3 linked regions of the Oryzias latipes genome follow. The protein of the gene in region 1 purifies or fractionates together with the protein of each later gene. This does not show direct contact. Links are inferred from orthologs where the notes say so. Each region holds a gene or a part of one and is shown in the gene's direction. Other genes may lie near its edges.

Region 1 (5,276 bases):
GGATGCTGCGCTGTTTTCCAGCAGTGCGCAGAAGCGGTACCTCGATTTGCCCTTGAGCGAGAGCGCACGGGGGAGGGAGGATGCAACTGGACCACGCAGGATTATTGCTCCTATGCGCGCCTCCTGCTTGGCTCAAACATGGCAGGCTCACTAATCAAGCCGGATTTGTGGGGGCGCTTGGAAATTGGCTGCACACCACACAGTAAACTCAATTTCAGTTGTAAATTCTCATGATCAATCTTGTTTAATCCGGTTATTGAACTATAATATTGTGGTAAGTCATGTGTAAAAAAAGATGCTTAATTTTCAGAGCTTCCGTAACATGTTCAAAAACATGTACTAAAAATATAAATAGTTTTTGCTTCTGAGTAAAACACACTTGACACAGCCTGTTTTCTGTGTTAGAAGCTGGAGTTAGAAGGAGCGCGTGTTTTACAGTTGATGGAGAGTCCCAGGGACTTGACCTTCACGTGGTCTTTAGCACCCTCTAGTGAAACGTTTTGGAGACTGCAACGCATGCGCAGACTAAACCTGTCCATTGACGAGGCCAAATACACTTATAACGGGGGGGGGGGGGGGGGGGGGTGCAAAGGATTCATTTATATCCATATTCGCACACCATATTCGCACACTTTTTTTAAAACTTTTTTTAAGTTACTAATTTACTATTTTCAACGAGGTGCCGTTGAAAATAAAAAAATGCCCTAAACAATATTCTCCTACAGAAATAAAAGTAACAAATAAATATAGAATTAAAAGAAAGTCTTTCCCTGGTGTTTTTTTTATACAACACAGCGTTACTTCCCCTGTCAAAATGGGGAATTGATTGTTTTTAACAATTATCTTTTTTTTTTTTGCTTTTATATCAATGTAGTATATCTTTAAGTTCAACAGCACTTACATTTATGCAAGAGAATATCAATATTTGACATTGTTATGTGACTATAATGTTATATATAAAAACAAGTATTTTCTTTTTTTAATCACAAAAAGAGTCAAAGTTCTTAATTGAAAAGACTGATAGGTATTGCATTCTCTATTATCCTGCAATACCCTAAAACATAGAAGGCTGAAAAGAGTACACTGTATTTTTAATTTTGTAGACCAAAAGGTTTATAGCACTACTTAGACATCATAAAGTTTTTAACTGTAGAGTAGTAAAAATAAAACACCACAGAAAGACCCACAAAGCTCAAAGGAGGCTCTAGGGATCATGTTGACTAGCCTAATATCACAAATTCGTATTAAAAATTAAACCATATATCTGAAACAACTTAAAGATATATGTATGTTGAACATTTTATTTAAAAAAATAATTTTAAGCTTTAAAACTGCAAAACCGCAAATGTATTTCCAACAACTGTGAATTATGCTAACGACATAAAATAAAAATACACCTACGTATTATTTATTAAATGTTGATACTTAAAAAACAAACAAACTGGTTACATGCTTGAACAAAAGAAGATGGCAAAATAAAGACATATAAGAAAATAAAGCACATAAAAAATACTGGGTTGTCATATAACTTATTGTCCTCAGCAAAAGTGAGAAGTTTTCTTGCTTTTTGATTTTCATAAATTCGAATGAATTAAAATATAAACAAATCTCCTTGTAAAATACATTTTCAATGTGGTAGATTTTTTGAAAAAAATATTTTATTAATATAAAACTTGCCCAGTATTATCAAAAACATTCAAAACTAAATCAAAAAACAACATGCTAAGTGGACACTAAACATTTAACTTTTTTCCCCTAAACATTTAACTACAATACCCATAATGCACATCGTCGAAACCGTTTTCTTGTTTTCTTTTTTTTTACCGGATGTAGCATCACATGAATTGACTGTCAACATGCAAGATGGCCACACATCACAGGCAAAATGCCGCTGGGCGGAGGAAAGTACAGGTACGTTTTCTGAGTTTTATAAGAACTTAGTGTGTGGGAACAATGTAATTGTTGTCTTTTAGGTTTGCACAAGTGTCTCATACCTGCTGAAGCGGCAGCAAAAAATCACTTGCGGAAGCGGCGTGACAACTATGACTCATGTCATGGTGCAAGCCGGCTAACCCTGTTAGCTTAGCTTAAGTAAGGTGTTAGCACCGTTGGAAAAGGAGCCTCTAACTTACAATTTGCTTCTTCAAATACCTTAGTTGCATATCCGAAAAACTTTACATGTCAGTTGGCCATTTTCCCCTTTGCGTAAATGCCGGTGTGTTTTAGCTAAATCTGACGTAACGGTTACGATGATGCTGGTTAAGCTACACTGTGTCCTGGCTGCGTCTAATTGCTGGTACGACGAAAGCGTCTCCGTATATATCTGCCATTTTCTGCCCATTCGTTATGCTTCACAAGGGACGCTATCTTTAATTTCATAGTGTGTTCTAATTATACCGGGAGGTTTTGTGTCGGTTACGTCTTCGTCCCCTTACGGTGATGCGAGTGCGTGAAGCGTGTTCCACGTCCAAAAGTGGGTGTGTTGTGGGTTCAACACTGCCTGTAAGCCTGAACCAGGCGCCGGTCCAAGAGAGAGGCTGACTGCAGTCGCATCTTTGTGCCACAGGTGTCTTACGTTATTAGGGACGAGGTGGAGAAGTACAATCGAAACGGGGTGAATGCACTCCAGCTAGATCCTGCACTCAACCGGCTCTTCACTGCTGGGAGGGACTCAATCATCCGGATATGGAGTGTCTATCAGCACAAAGTACAGTTTATGACTTCAATTAAATATATACATTTTTTTGTTTTAGAGTTTTGCAGCTGCATATAAAGCGACAGAGATACTCTTTTAAATGATGCTACGTTTTTTGCAGCAGGACCCATACATTGCATCAATGGAGCATCATACAGATTGGGTAAACGATATAGTCCTTTGCTGCAATGGGAAAACATGTGAGTTTATAAGTATTAACAGCAGATTTGATCCAAAGTTTGTGTTTAGCCTCTAGCAACTCACCTCTCCTTCTCCTCCAGTGATATCTGCCTCTTCAGATACAACGGTGAAAGTATGGAACGCGCATAAAGGATTTTGCATGTCAACGTTACGAACGCACAAGGACTATGTTAAAGCTTTGGCGTACGCCAAAGACAAAGAGCTTGTAGCATCGGCCGGTCTGGATCGGCAGATCTTTCTTTGGGACGTAAACACGCTAACTGCCCTCACTGCTTCGAATAACACAGTCACTAGTGAGTACACCTATAGTCATGTGATGGGTTTAGCCCGCTTTCATGGGTAGACGTGTTTGTGATCCACCTTTGGGCTTTTCTGTGTTCCTTCAGCGTCATCGCTGAGCGGGAACAAGGACTCAATCTACAGTCTGGCAATGAACCAGATGGGCACAGTTATTGTTTCTGGATCCACTGAAAAGGTTTGACACACATCTCCAAAAAAAAAAAAATCTATGGTGAACCAATGCACAAAATTTTTTCTTTTTGCTTTGTTTTCATATTTCTTATATTTTTTATCTTGCTTTAGCCTGAAGTTAGATCTGTAAGATTTTAAATCTTGACAGCGTGAGTTTTTGTTGTTTGTTTTTTTGTCCTAAGAATCCTGCTAGTCTATTGCCTCTACTAAGTGTTGTTGTTTTTGGAAGTTTTTTCCTCCTAAAGGGGGGTATCCTCTCTATTGTTCCAACATTGAATGCTCTTTATGAGGCAGTACAATGACAATTCTTCTATGTAATAAATCTGTCACACACATTCATTCACTTAGGCCTTATAGTAGTAATCTTGGCAAAATTAGACTACAAACATTTTAAATATATCTTCTTTGCCTTGAATTTTGCTTTGGTTTTTTTATTTGTTTGAGGCCAAATTGGTTGTTAATTGTTGCTTTAATTCAGCTGCACTATAAATTGTAATCAAACTGTAAGGTTTGTTTATCTACATAAATTTAGCTCTTTCTCCAACCTTCAGGTTCTGAGAGTGTGGGATCCTCGGACATGTGCAAAACTCATGAAGCTAAAAGGTCACACGGACAACGTCAAGTCCTTGCTGCTGAACCGAGACGGCACGCAGGTGATTCACCAAAGCGCTTCAAAAACCTCATCATGCTGAGCCGCAGGAATCCCAAACTCTTTAATCCCGCTCTGCTCCCCCGGCAGTGTCTGTCCGGCAGCTCGGATGGGACCATCCGCCTCTGGTCTCTGGGCCAGCAGAGGTGTATCGCCACGTACCGAGTGCACGACGAAGGCGTGTGGGCCCTGCAGGTCAACGAGGCCTTTACGCATGTCTATTCAGGAGGCAGAGACAAGAAGATCTACTGTACGGACCTGCGGAACCCAGACATCCGTGTGCTCATCTGCGAGGAGAAGGCCCCAGTGCTCAAAGTAACAGAACAAAACACTCTTTTAGCAAACTGTCTAATGTCCCCAAACTGTGGCTTTATAAAATAAATATACACTTTTAGTAACTTTTTTTATAGCACAACAGTTCTGTCTAAATAATTGTAGCTCTACTTGTCAGTTCTAGTAGTTTAATCAAGCTTCCATTTTTTTCCCCACTAACTTAAATCATCCGGACATTGTTGGTCTCTTTTTTTGTTTTATAAAATTTTAACTAAAGCTATCGCATTAAATAACACATGTTGATGTTTTGTTCTTCATTCATGCTGTCATGAAGATTTTTTCTGTCTTTTTGTCTCGTGCTCAGATGGAATTGGACAGATCTGCTGACCCACCTCCAGCAATCTGGGTTTCCACCACCAAGTCATCCGTTAATAAATGGGTAAGCATGCGTGGCCGCTCTCAGATCACTGGTCAGCACAGGGAACACAGCGGCTTGCATGGAGGCAGGTCTCACTGTTGTTCATGTGGACGCTTATATCAGAATGAAACTTTTTAATCTAGGTTTTGTTTGTTCAGTCTTTAAAGGGAATCCACAACTTCAGATCATCAGGGGAATACGACAATGACTGCACCACTCCCCTGACGCCATTGTGTACTCAGCCAGAACAAGTTATTAAAGGTACAAAAAAAACGTCCTTTTCTTGGTAAATCTTCCTCATGTCGCCTTCTATTTTATTTTATGAACTGAAATAGCCTCTCTTTTTTATGCAGGAGGTGCCAGTATTATTCAGTGCCACATTCTGAATGACAAGAGACACATACTCACGAAGGACACTAACAACAATGTGGCGTTTTGGGACGTCCTGAAGGTATCTGACACGCCGTGGTGACGCTCTGCCAAGGATTTGAACATCTTTTTTGACGTCCGTAAAAGATTCATTCATCTGAAAAAACCTGTTTGGGTGGAGACGCTCAGATTTAGATATT
Region 2 (5,276 bases), on another chromosome or scaffold:
TCTTCCTTCCCTCTCTGGGCCTAAAAACATGGCCTTTCACAGCCCTGAGCATCTGCTCCAGGGCCACTGTGTGACAAACCACAGCGGACAACCACCCACTCACAAGCTGGAAAATGACAACCCTCGATACAGTGGCTGCTCTCTCGAAGAACCACAGTCAAATCTGGGGAGGTTTCGTTTTGACCTCTCTTCAGAACTGTGATTGCTTCTTCCCATGTGTGTGGGCGACTGGGCAGTTGAGGACGTGTCAATTTAGTGTCAATCAGACCCAGGAACTGGAACATCAGAAGTCCTGAATCATCTAGTTTATACTGCCACCTGTTGGATGGTTGGATTCTTTACCCCTTGACAAACAGCTGTCCGTTTAGCACCAACAACAGTCTTTTTTATTATATGTAATCAAAGCTACCCAGAAAATATTCTCATCTATATTAAAAAATAAGATACAATAAACTTTTTTTACATCCTGCTGTGAAGAAATTAAATTGTTACAACTCTGGGGATCAGGCATAAGGGAGCAAAGAAAGGAAAATTTAAAATGTGCAAAAATATTTAAGGAAATAAAAAATATAAAAGAATTATACACCTCAAATACAATTAAATACAATTATAGTATACAACACACATTTCAATTGTATGCAACCATTTTAAAAATCAATATAACAAATAAAAATATTTTTTTTCCTATTCAAATACTGCAAATATACATCATTTTATTGTGTTTACAGGAATTACATTCCATTTAATGTTAGTTCATTATGACACACTTGTTTAGTAATTATGCTCATGATTTTAAAGCCTTAATTTTGTCACCTAATGTCACTAATTCTGTAAAATCCTCCCCAAATTTTTTTAAGTTGACTTAAAAGAATAATGCAATTTTCTTTTTCAATTTTATTGAAGAGTATACAACAGGAGAACAAATACACAATGTGAAATACATTAACAAGATCAAACAGTGAGGGGCTTTATTTAAATAAATACATATAAAGATTCACAAATACTGATTGTTTTAAATTTGAAAACAATCAATATTTTTGAATATTTGTAACCATTCCTGTTAGAAGAGTGTGATATTGATTTTATGTATAAAAATATATCGTTAAGAAATTGAGAAAATATGGTGCTTTATGGTGAAATTACATCTATAAATTATTAATTTTTTATATATGTATTATCTGTACTGCTGGCATAAATTAAGAAAACTAATCTACTTTCATAAACAGTAGATACGATACATTTTTCACTCAAAATAAAAACAATGTTGTGCATTTTTTTCTTTCTTTAATTTATTTACAATGGGTTTACTAAAAAAATTTAAATAAAACATTTTTACTAGTGGTATTTTATTAAAAACAACTAAACTAAAACGTAAAAAAAATAAACTCGAATCAACTTCCGCTTTTTTCATCAACTTCCGCTACCGTCAAATTAATCAACACAGCGTGACGTCACTTCTGGTCAGTTCAGGCGGGCTGCTTAAAACCAGAAGTCGCTTATTTTATTGTCGCTATACAAAACTAGTATACATTAATGTATCAACGTATGAGGAAGTGAAGTAAAGTTTTTTCCTCAGTACGTTAGGTGTTAGGCTTTTGATTTAAATCAGCTTTGCTGCAAAATTACCGGCTAGCTTAAGCTTCATGTGATCGAAGGGTAAAATAGCGGCTAAATCGCCGTTAATGTCCTTATTGATCGTTGGATAAACTAAGGGTATAATTTGTCAAAAATCCTATAAAGGGATGGACCGGCCGTCGAGGTGAGCAAGAAACATTTTCATTAGTTTATCGTTTTTTAATTACTTGTCAAATGTGAATAGAAAAGACGCTCTTAAGTTATTTCTCTACGTTTGCTTATTTGTTACAGAAAGACAAAGGTTGTGAATTATAGTGAAGCCAAGGATTTTGAGGATGGTGAGTTATTTGTGTTTTGTTCATCCAACTTTTATTTTCAAATTTTTTGTCTAATATCATATGTTCAATGATTCACAACAACAATTGTGTTGCTACTCTACGTCTTTCTCTTAATTTAAGTTTTAAGACTTAACTTCAAACTTAGCTTCTCTTCTGTGTGAAAACACCTTCCATGTTTGGTTTAGTTAGTCCAAACATTATAAAAACTAAAGATACATGTCTGCATTCGCTGATAACTATACTATAGTTATTCAAAAGATTCTGTATTTGGAAGAACTAGAGAACGATAGACATAAAGGACCCAGACGCTTAAAGCCTACTCCTTTATACCGATTCAACTTTAATTACCCAAAGTTGCATTTAGTTTTACAGCGTTTACCAGGTAACCCCTTTTGATTAGCCTGTTTCTTTGTTGTGTCAGATGAAGATTTTGCCTCCGTGAAGGCTCCACCTCACAAAAAAGCCAAGGAAGAAGTGAAACAACAACAGAGAAAGTCTTCAAGTCAGGAAGTTGTCTCTGAGTCGTCACAGAAAGAAAAGATCAGGTACACCGTTGGACATTTAGATGTTTTGGGGGATTTTATTGTCACTTATGGATCTTTGGATTATTGTGAGCCTCTCAAGTTATCTCCACCTCTTGAGTAAACATTAGTCCTAAAGACCCACTCAGATGAAAAAGGACTTTTTGGTGTTTTTTACATGTTCTTGTGGCATTTTTCTGATGATGGAGGACAAATATGAAGAAAAGTAAGCTTAAAATTTCATTTCTAAGTATTTCTTTATCTAAATTGTTGTGAATCAGGAGAAAATGATAAAATGCAGTTGTGTAAATATTTCATTTGTTGTGTAAAAAAATACGCTGGGAATTTTGGGATGAAAGTTATGGTATATCTGTGTATTACAATCTGTTTTTCAACTATGTCTGCAGCACAATGGCAAAATAAATAGCCCTCAGTGTTTTATTGTCTTGGATGTCTTTCAAGTCTACGATAAAGTCATGTTGACAATAATTTATTTTAATAAAAGATGACAATTGTATCACTTTTACCCATACAGGTCACATAGCTGAATATTCATCTATTAGTACTTTTTTTTTTTGCTTAATTTCCATATAGTTTAAACAACAAAAAAATGTGTTTTTTTGCTGCCCTTTTCTGACTTTGAGCCCCTGGCCCTCTATGATCCCGTACCTATCCCTGAGCAGCAACAAAATGGTTTGGCACCTGAGAAGTTAAAAATTATTTTAACTAATTTAGTTTTTAACCAATTAACACTTAATATTCTCAGAAAACCACTGGATGAAAAACTTTATGACAGAGACCTTGAGGCAGCCATCACACTGTCCTTGCTCAACAACACAGATGGGCTGAAGGAGTCATCTCCTAAAGGTTTGTTTTGTCTTGAAAAATGCTGAGTTGATTTGTTTTTCTCTGAGAGTGGTAACAAATTCTTTCTGGAAAAAAAAAAATTTCTCCAGCAGATGGAAAGATTCAAATCCCCATGGATGAAAATACGGATCCGACTACTTTGCGCTTTTCTAACTGCAGTGTGGATGGAGCAGTTTTGGGTAAGTATTGTTCTCCCCTCCCAAATCCCCGATCAATATGTTTTTCTTCGTCTAATCGACATTTTCTTTCAGTTTACTCATTTTTTTGTGTTTTTATTGTCGTTTGTGGGTCCCAGGCTTAGACGCAATCTCGTCAGAGATCAGATCATCCGCCTCAAAGAAGACTTCTTCTAAAACAGCTGAAGTGAAAAAATGCAAAGATGACGATGACGACTATCAACCCAAACTTACACCCGGTTAGCACTTTTTTCTTCCAAAGCTCCATAAAAAACTGTTCTCTTGGTTTTCATAAGTGTAACAGCTCTTTGCTTTTCCAGATCCAGAAAGTGATGAAGATTTCAGTGAGCCATCTGAGAGTGAGGATGAAGAATTTACAGTCAAGAAACCCACAAAGACCCAAAAGAAGGACAAAGTCTCCCCAAAAGACAGAATCAAACCAGCTCCCACTTCTAAAAAAGTCAAACAACCGTCAAAGACGAAGCCTGAAGCAGCAGGTTTGTTTCAACGGCTGACGTTTTCCATCCTCTTGATTTTTGTTACTAAGCCTTTTAAAACATTTTAGCTGCTTCCAAACCGGTGAAAAGTCCTCCAACGTCCAAACCGACACCCACCAGACCTCCTTCCACAAAGCCTGCATCCTCTCTGAGCCCAGCAGCGGGGAAAGTACCCAAGTGGAACCCACCAGGTACAGCTTATCAATGCACTTACTCTTTCTGTTATTTAAACTGCTGTAATCAGATTGAAGGCTAATATTTATATTAATACTATATTCCAGCTCAGATTGGTAAAAGCGCCTCATCATCACACAGTCCACCGGTGAAGTCACCCAGCCAGGGGCTGCGACTTGGACTGTCCCGCCTAGTCCGGGTCAAACCGCTCCATCCCAGCGTTGCAAGTCACTAACCCATTAGGGGACAGCGCCTCATGGGTACCAGGGATGGCCATTTTCTCTTAACACAATTTTTAGAGAACATTCTAAAAATCATTTTTGTCTTCCGGTTATTTATGGCACAAGTCTCCAACTTGAACTAAAATTTAAGAGCTTCAGGGAGGGGCTGCTGGGTCGTCCACACAGTCTGGTCCTCAGGAGTTCATCCTCTATTCTTTGTGTGAATTTGAGAAAACCGTTGTTGGTTTGTGAGAAAACTAAAAATTGTTTCTCTTTTAATACAAATGTTTTGCCTGTAATTTTCATATCCTTATAAATTCTTCTGTTTTTCTTTTTACTTATTGTTCGGCAAACTTTGTATATTATGTACATACATCTCAAATAAAATTGGGGAAAAAAAAGGAATCGTTTCGAATGTCATTTAATGCAAATACCAACCATTAAAAAAGCAAACTTTGAACTGAAGTAAAATGTAAGTGTTTTATTTGAGAACAACTGGACACTAAAATGTTTTTTAAACTGCTTTCAGTATGAAATATATACAGTTAACCTCCAAAAACTGTTTTCTGGAGGCAGCAAAGTGTTTCAATATAATATTTGTGAGTAGCAACAACATTTTAAATTTTGACATGTAAAGCTGGTGTTGATGCCTGAAAGTCAGACTGCAATCCATGCATAACCTCAGAACGTTTCCAAAACAGATTGGATATCCGTTTCCTTGGAATGCTGCTCGTGCATCCCACATATACCATGAGAGAAGGTAAATAAATAAATATATATCCTGAATAATAGACAAAAACAATGCATTAATGCCTATAAATATGAGTCAAAAATAAATGCGCATTCTTTGGCTCCAAAATTACCCAAATTTAGCATCAACATGAAAGCAAACACACAAAAGGGATTT
Region 3 (5,176 bases), on another chromosome or scaffold:
TTAATACTGGGGCTTTTCATAGTTGGATGGAGCTGCAAACTGAAAATGCATTTCAAGCGCTACATTTCCATGCTTAGTCACTCACAGTTGTTGTTTGACATTGTAATTTGGCCTTCCTCAGTTGTGCTTTCAAAACTAAAACTGCAAACCCATTAACAGGATTTCATATGCAGAGGTGCTTTTGAGATAACATGAACTGCCAGGGCTAATGGATCAAACTTGTTGGAGTCCTCAAACATTTTGACAGATGTGGTGAGAAACAGAAAATAGAAGTTGACTTAAAAGGTTTTGATACCAAACTCAATGGTAAACCAAAATAGTGATTGCATCGGTACACTTCAACTGTGAGAAACAGTATGTACAAGGATCCAGTTGATGACATTAGTGTATCTCATTTTTTAAAGATTAGAGATGCGCAAATGTGCAGAAAATAGGTATTTGTTCAATAACAAAAGTTCCCCCTCAATAATGTAAATGACAGAGGTCAAACATTTCCTGCAGAACAAGTTTGCACGCATCATAGCTGCTATTTTGTACCGTTCTTTCATGCAGATCTTCTCAGACTTTGAACTCCCTCCACAGACTCTATATTGGATTGAAGTCCAGAGACCTGCTAGGCCACTCCAGAACCGTTAAACGCTTTTTATGAAGCCACTTCTTTGCTGGCCAGGTGATGTGTTTGGGGTCACTATAATGATGGAATACCCAGTCATGTTTTCTCTTCAATGCTCTCACTGTTGGAAGCAGGTTTTTGCCGAAAATCTCACATACATGGCTCCATTCATCCTTTCCATCATACAAATCAGTCGTCCTGTCCCCTTTGTGGAAAAGCAGTCCTAAATCATGATGCTTCTGCCCCCATGCTTCACCATGGGTATGATGCTTTTGGTAGGCAACTCAGCATTCTTCTCGCTCCAAACATGATGAGTGGCGTTTATATGAAGGAGTTTCATTTTGGTCTCATCTAACCACATGACTTTCTCCCAGTCTTCCTCTGGATCATCAGTACGGTATCTAGAGAGTTCTGGATCTGTACTGGCTGATTGAAACCCATGATCATGTAGTGTGTTACCAATAGTAACTTTTGTTACTGTGGTCCCAGTTTTCTTCAGGTCACTGACCACTTCCCTCCTCCATGTTTCCTCAAGAACCATATTCTTTATTTCTTTATTATGCTCAAGATTATTTGAAGCCCACAGCGTGAGTAATTCTTTCCTGGATTCTCTCTTTTTTTAAATTTTGTCTCTCACAATTGAACTTTACCTATGATAAATATTACAGACCTCTCATCTTTTAAGGAAGACAACTTGCAGAATTAGGGACTGACAAAGGGTTCTTGGTCCACTGTAAATGCACAAATATGCTGTTAATTTTGATAGTCAAAGAAATAAAATCACAATAACTCATTGAAAAGATTTTTTTAGCTTAATAATGTCAAAATTAGACACAATTTATTCATCTATCTTTCAAATTTACTCAGAATTTAAAATGATAGACAGTGATACTATTTAATGTATCTGTAATAGCAAAGCAGCTCCCCAAACATGAATTTTCCACACTAACAGTTTCTTTTCCAGGTTATGGCTTGTAACTTCACGCTAATATAACACTCATGCTATTCTTTGTCTCTCAGGAGAATGGACTCCTCTGAGCAACCCCTCCAGATGGTTTATGACTACTTGACATCAATGGGGTACGCTGACCTGACGCGGGTGCAGCATGAAGCTGCTAACTCTGACCTCAGCTGTTTGATCCGTTTCTACAGTGGTAAGTACTGACTCAGTAATCTCAAATTCCTTAAATTTCCACTCTCTGCTGCAGGAACAAACAAATAGTCCACTTTTTGTGAAAAAAAGCGATCTAAACTGAAAAAATAACAAGAATATAATACTAAAACTAATTGAATATTTATTTCTTTTGTAAGTGACCATGGAATAAGCGGAATAATGGAAGACAAAGTGTGCATTATCAGAATTAACGCACACCATGGAAGTCTGAACCATCTGGCGTGAAGCAGAGGACGGTTGCTTCCGTGAAGTGCGTTAGTTTCTGATAATGCACACTTCAAAGGCCATTATCCCTTACATAGAGGCCCTGCTCCTTACAAATGTGTTTGAACTTCATAAACCAATTGATGATTATGCCGAGTCAGCAGGATCTTTTTTGTGTGGGACTTTTCCCACTGCTGTGTCAGAGAAAGAGGAACTAAAAAAAAAAAAAAAAATCTGCCTCTTGACTTTCATGCGGCCAGATTCCTTCCTGTCTCTTTAAGTGGTTTGGATTTATTTTATCAAACGGATCCTCACTGTGCTCTTTCTTAAAAAATTTGCCTTTTTTTCAATAAAGGATTCTGAAATGCCACCCGGGTTTAATTGCGCTAAAAAAACTTCCTTGTCTTTAAGAGCTATGTTTATTAACTGTGCACTTTCCTTTTTTCCAATTTCTTTGTTTAAAAACTTCTTAAACGTTTAAGAATTTCATTTTCCACAATTGCAATCAAATTTCATATGATGAAAGTATTTTAGAAAAGGTAATGGTGCCAAGGTAAACGCAACCTTTCTTAGTCCAAAGGAGATTTTGATTTGTGCAGCTTCACCTCTGTGACATGTTCAGCTGGAAACTAACTTATTAAAAAAACGTTAGCCTGCTTCTAGCCAGATCTTGCCTACTTCTCAGCTGTTACCAGAATCAAACAAAGAATTCTGTGCTCCAACACAAAAGACTGTTATATTACATATTTTGATCCTTTTTTTTGTTTTGTTTTTTACTGAGGAAACTACATTTTTGGGGGTTTTAGCAGCTACTGATTCTCAGAAAATGCAAAAGTGGTGTTTACCTTCAATAACATCTTAGATCAAGAATCAGCAGCAGTAATAACTGTGCACCTTTTATTAGTCTTCAATAAAGTCTTGGCAACAATTAATAATGATCTGCAGTAGCATGAGCTCCTTGCTGCCCTTTTAAAGGAAACAAGACAAGCATAGAAATTGTGTTTTTCCACATTGATCTTTACCCACCTTTTTTATTTAAAGTGGAAAAAGTGCCATGTGATTTTTAGTTCTTATCCCGTTGTTTTACTGCCTTTTTGTCTCACTTGAGCTGTCGTGTCTCAAAGTCCAGAGCAACAGGTGATGTTGTCAACTTTGTAACCATGCATCTGACACAAACACACCCTTCTGCTGTGGTGCACAGATGAAATGAAAATAAACACAAAAAGTGGGAGTAAAGATTTCAAGAGAGAAACCTTAATGTCAACAGCCACAAGGATCTGAGTTGCAGCTGCAGCACAGATGAAGCTGGCAGGAGGCCCTGCTCCTTGTCCTCCTGCCTGTGGGATCTTTTTCATCTTTGAGCTCAGAATCCTGAAGGTGCTGAGAGTTCACACCAACTCTATTGTCTGTCAGGCTGCCACATGCCATCATGTTCAAAACCAGCTGGATAGCATCAAACAATGATTACTTTGAGTGGGACTGATTTGCTAATTAAAGCTAAAATGAGATTTCTTTTAAAAAAAATAGGTGACAAAGTGCATAAAACTCAGAGTTACAATAATGTTGTCCTCACAGAAAGTAATCAACATGATTTGAATACCCAGTAGAGAGGGGAGCTACTTCTTGGATGTGAACCCTGAGAAACAGTCAGGAAAATTCTGCTCAGATCCAGGCTCCTATAGAACTGCCCTCAGCAGCAGAGCTCTGCAGAGAGACAACCAGCTCTCTGTCATTTACTGACAGCTCCCTGTAATGGGATGTTTCTGTGAAGGAGTTCTGTTTCTTCTTGAGTTTAACCCTGTACAGTTTTTCACATAGAGGTGATAATAAAATCTGGCCACCATCCAAACTGCCTAATTTCTGGGAACTTTTATGCAGTCTGTCCTTTTTTATTAATGTTAGATGATGTTGCTACATATTTATTTTGACTTAAAATAAAAGAAAAAGCTGCACATTTTTATATGTTATCTCTGTACTGAACTTGAATTTGCAGTCAAAAACAGTTTAGGGTTTTGGTTTGTAGCTGAACCTTCAGTGCATGCTAATGCAGTCCATGCAGTCGTGGGTGAGGCATAAGCTGTGGTGTGCAAGCAGGCGGGCAGGCAGGCAGGCAGGCAGGCAGGCAGGCAGGCAGGCGGGCAGGCGGGCAGGCGGGCAGGCGGGCAGGCGGGCAGGCGGGCAGGCGGGCAGGCGGGCAGGCAGGCAGGCAGGCAGGCAGGCAGGCAGGCCAGGCAAGCAGGCAGGCAGGCAAAGGCTGGCAGGAAGACCATGCATTTCTAAAGAAAACTATTTCACAAATAATTTGAAATTGGAAAAATAGCTGCACTTTAACTCGTAAAATAATCATTTGAATGTTTTGGTCTCTTATCAGTGTCTGGATGAATCTTTTTTTTTGACTAGCCCTTTAATAGCTTTCATCTACAAATCAGCGTTGCTCCACTTGCTGCTTATTCCAGAAATGCGCAAACACCTCAGTTAAAGTCAAAAGACAAGTGGTGGGATCTTAAATTATGCATGCAGACTTTTATTCAAGCGTATGTAAATGTAAACAACACCTTTCTGATCTAGCTGCTATGACTGCAGCAATTACATTTATGCAAAAAAGTGTTGAGGTAGATATTTTTGATCTCTTAAAATTTGGAAGCAACATGTTTCCTCAGTGGATCTTTGTGTTGAAATTATGTTTTTTTTAGATTTAGTTTTCTTATCGTTTTATTACTTTTTTTTCCATCTTTCTGTCTGTTCTCATGTCATCTAAAAAAAATGTTTGTGAGATGAAAGAGCAGCAAAGTTTGCCGTCCTGCAGTTTTTCTGATGTGTCATGTAAATTGAGAAGCCCTTACTTTTACTGTGATTTTTTATTTTTTATTTTACTAGATAAAGAGCACAAACTCATTTCAGATTAGGATGGTGGAGATAAGAAGTCACACGCTCCATCAGTTACTTTTCACATTGCTGTAAAAATGTTTCACACAGGCTTCTGGTTAGCTCAGGGCCTTCTGTGGCACCATCTCTTTAGAAAAGTGTTTTGCACAACATGTCGCTGCGTTGACAACCAAACCCAGACTGAGCCACCGGGAACGCTCAGCACTTCTTTTCTATTTACTGCTGGCAGGATGGGCTGATTTGGGTTCTTTGCAGAACAGTTAGAAGATGCAGAGGGCAGTATGCAGATTTACTTACTC

Evidence for each region.
Region 2: the proteins of wdr48 (region 1) and rad51ap1 purify together in Homo sapiens (affinity purification with mass spectrometry; 5 studies listed by BioGRID and IntAct, counting the BioPlex papers as one, with this or other methods). This does not show direct contact. The link is inferred for Oryzias latipes from reciprocal best matches to the Homo sapiens genes WDR48 and RAD51AP1.
Region 3: the proteins of wdr48 (region 1) and phlpp2 purify together in Homo sapiens (affinity purification with mass spectrometry; 5 studies listed by BioGRID and IntAct, with this or other methods). This does not show direct contact. The link is inferred for Oryzias latipes from reciprocal best matches to the Homo sapiens genes WDR48 and PHLPP2.

What each region holds. Positions count from the first base shown.
Region 1 is NC_019875.2:17,403,978-17,409,253, forward strand, and holds the start of wdr48 (WD repeat-containing protein 48), read left to right. Parts: upstream 1-1,781; 5' UTR 1,782-1,863; coding exon 1,864-1,911; intron 1,912-2,566; coding exon 2,567-2,707; intron 2,708-2,816; coding exon 2,817-2,895; intron 2,896-2,976; coding exon 2,977-3,189; intron 3,190-3,282; coding exon 3,283-3,371; intron 3,372-3,918; coding exon 3,919-4,020; intron 4,021-4,106; coding exon 4,107-4,331; intron 4,332-4,653; coding exon 4,654-4,728; intron 4,729-4,865; coding exon 4,866-4,968; intron 4,969-5,060; coding exon 5,061-5,158; intron 5,159-5,276. UniProt on the Homo sapiens protein: Regulator of deubiquitinating complexes, which acts as a strong activator of USP1, USP12 and USP46. Enhances the USP1-mediated deubiquitination of FANCD2; USP1 being almost inactive by itself.
Region 2 is NC_019881.2:17,660,253-17,665,528, reverse strand, and holds rad51ap1 (RAD51-associated protein 1), read left to right. Parts: upstream 1-1,429; 5' UTR 1,430-1,742; coding exon 1,743-1,759; intron 1,760-1,866; coding exon 1,867-1,913; intron 1,914-2,334; coding exon 2,335-2,458; intron 2,459-3,200; coding exon 3,201-3,301; intron 3,302-3,390; coding exon 3,391-3,480; intron 3,481-3,596; coding exon 3,597-3,716; intron 3,717-3,797; coding exon 3,798-3,974; intron 3,975-4,042; coding exon 4,043-4,165; intron 4,166-4,255; coding exon 4,256-4,383; 3' UTR 4,384-4,770; downstream 4,771-5,276. UniProt on the Homo sapiens protein: Structure-specific DNA-binding protein involved in DNA repair by promoting RAD51-mediated homologous recombination.
Region 3 is NC_019861.2:21,085,865-21,091,040, reverse strand, and holds part of phlpp2 (PH domain leucine-rich repeat-containing protein phosphatase 2), read left to right. Parts: intron 1-1,633; coding exon 1,634-1,767; intron 1,768-5,176. UniProt on the Homo sapiens protein: Protein phosphatase involved in regulation of Akt and PKC signaling.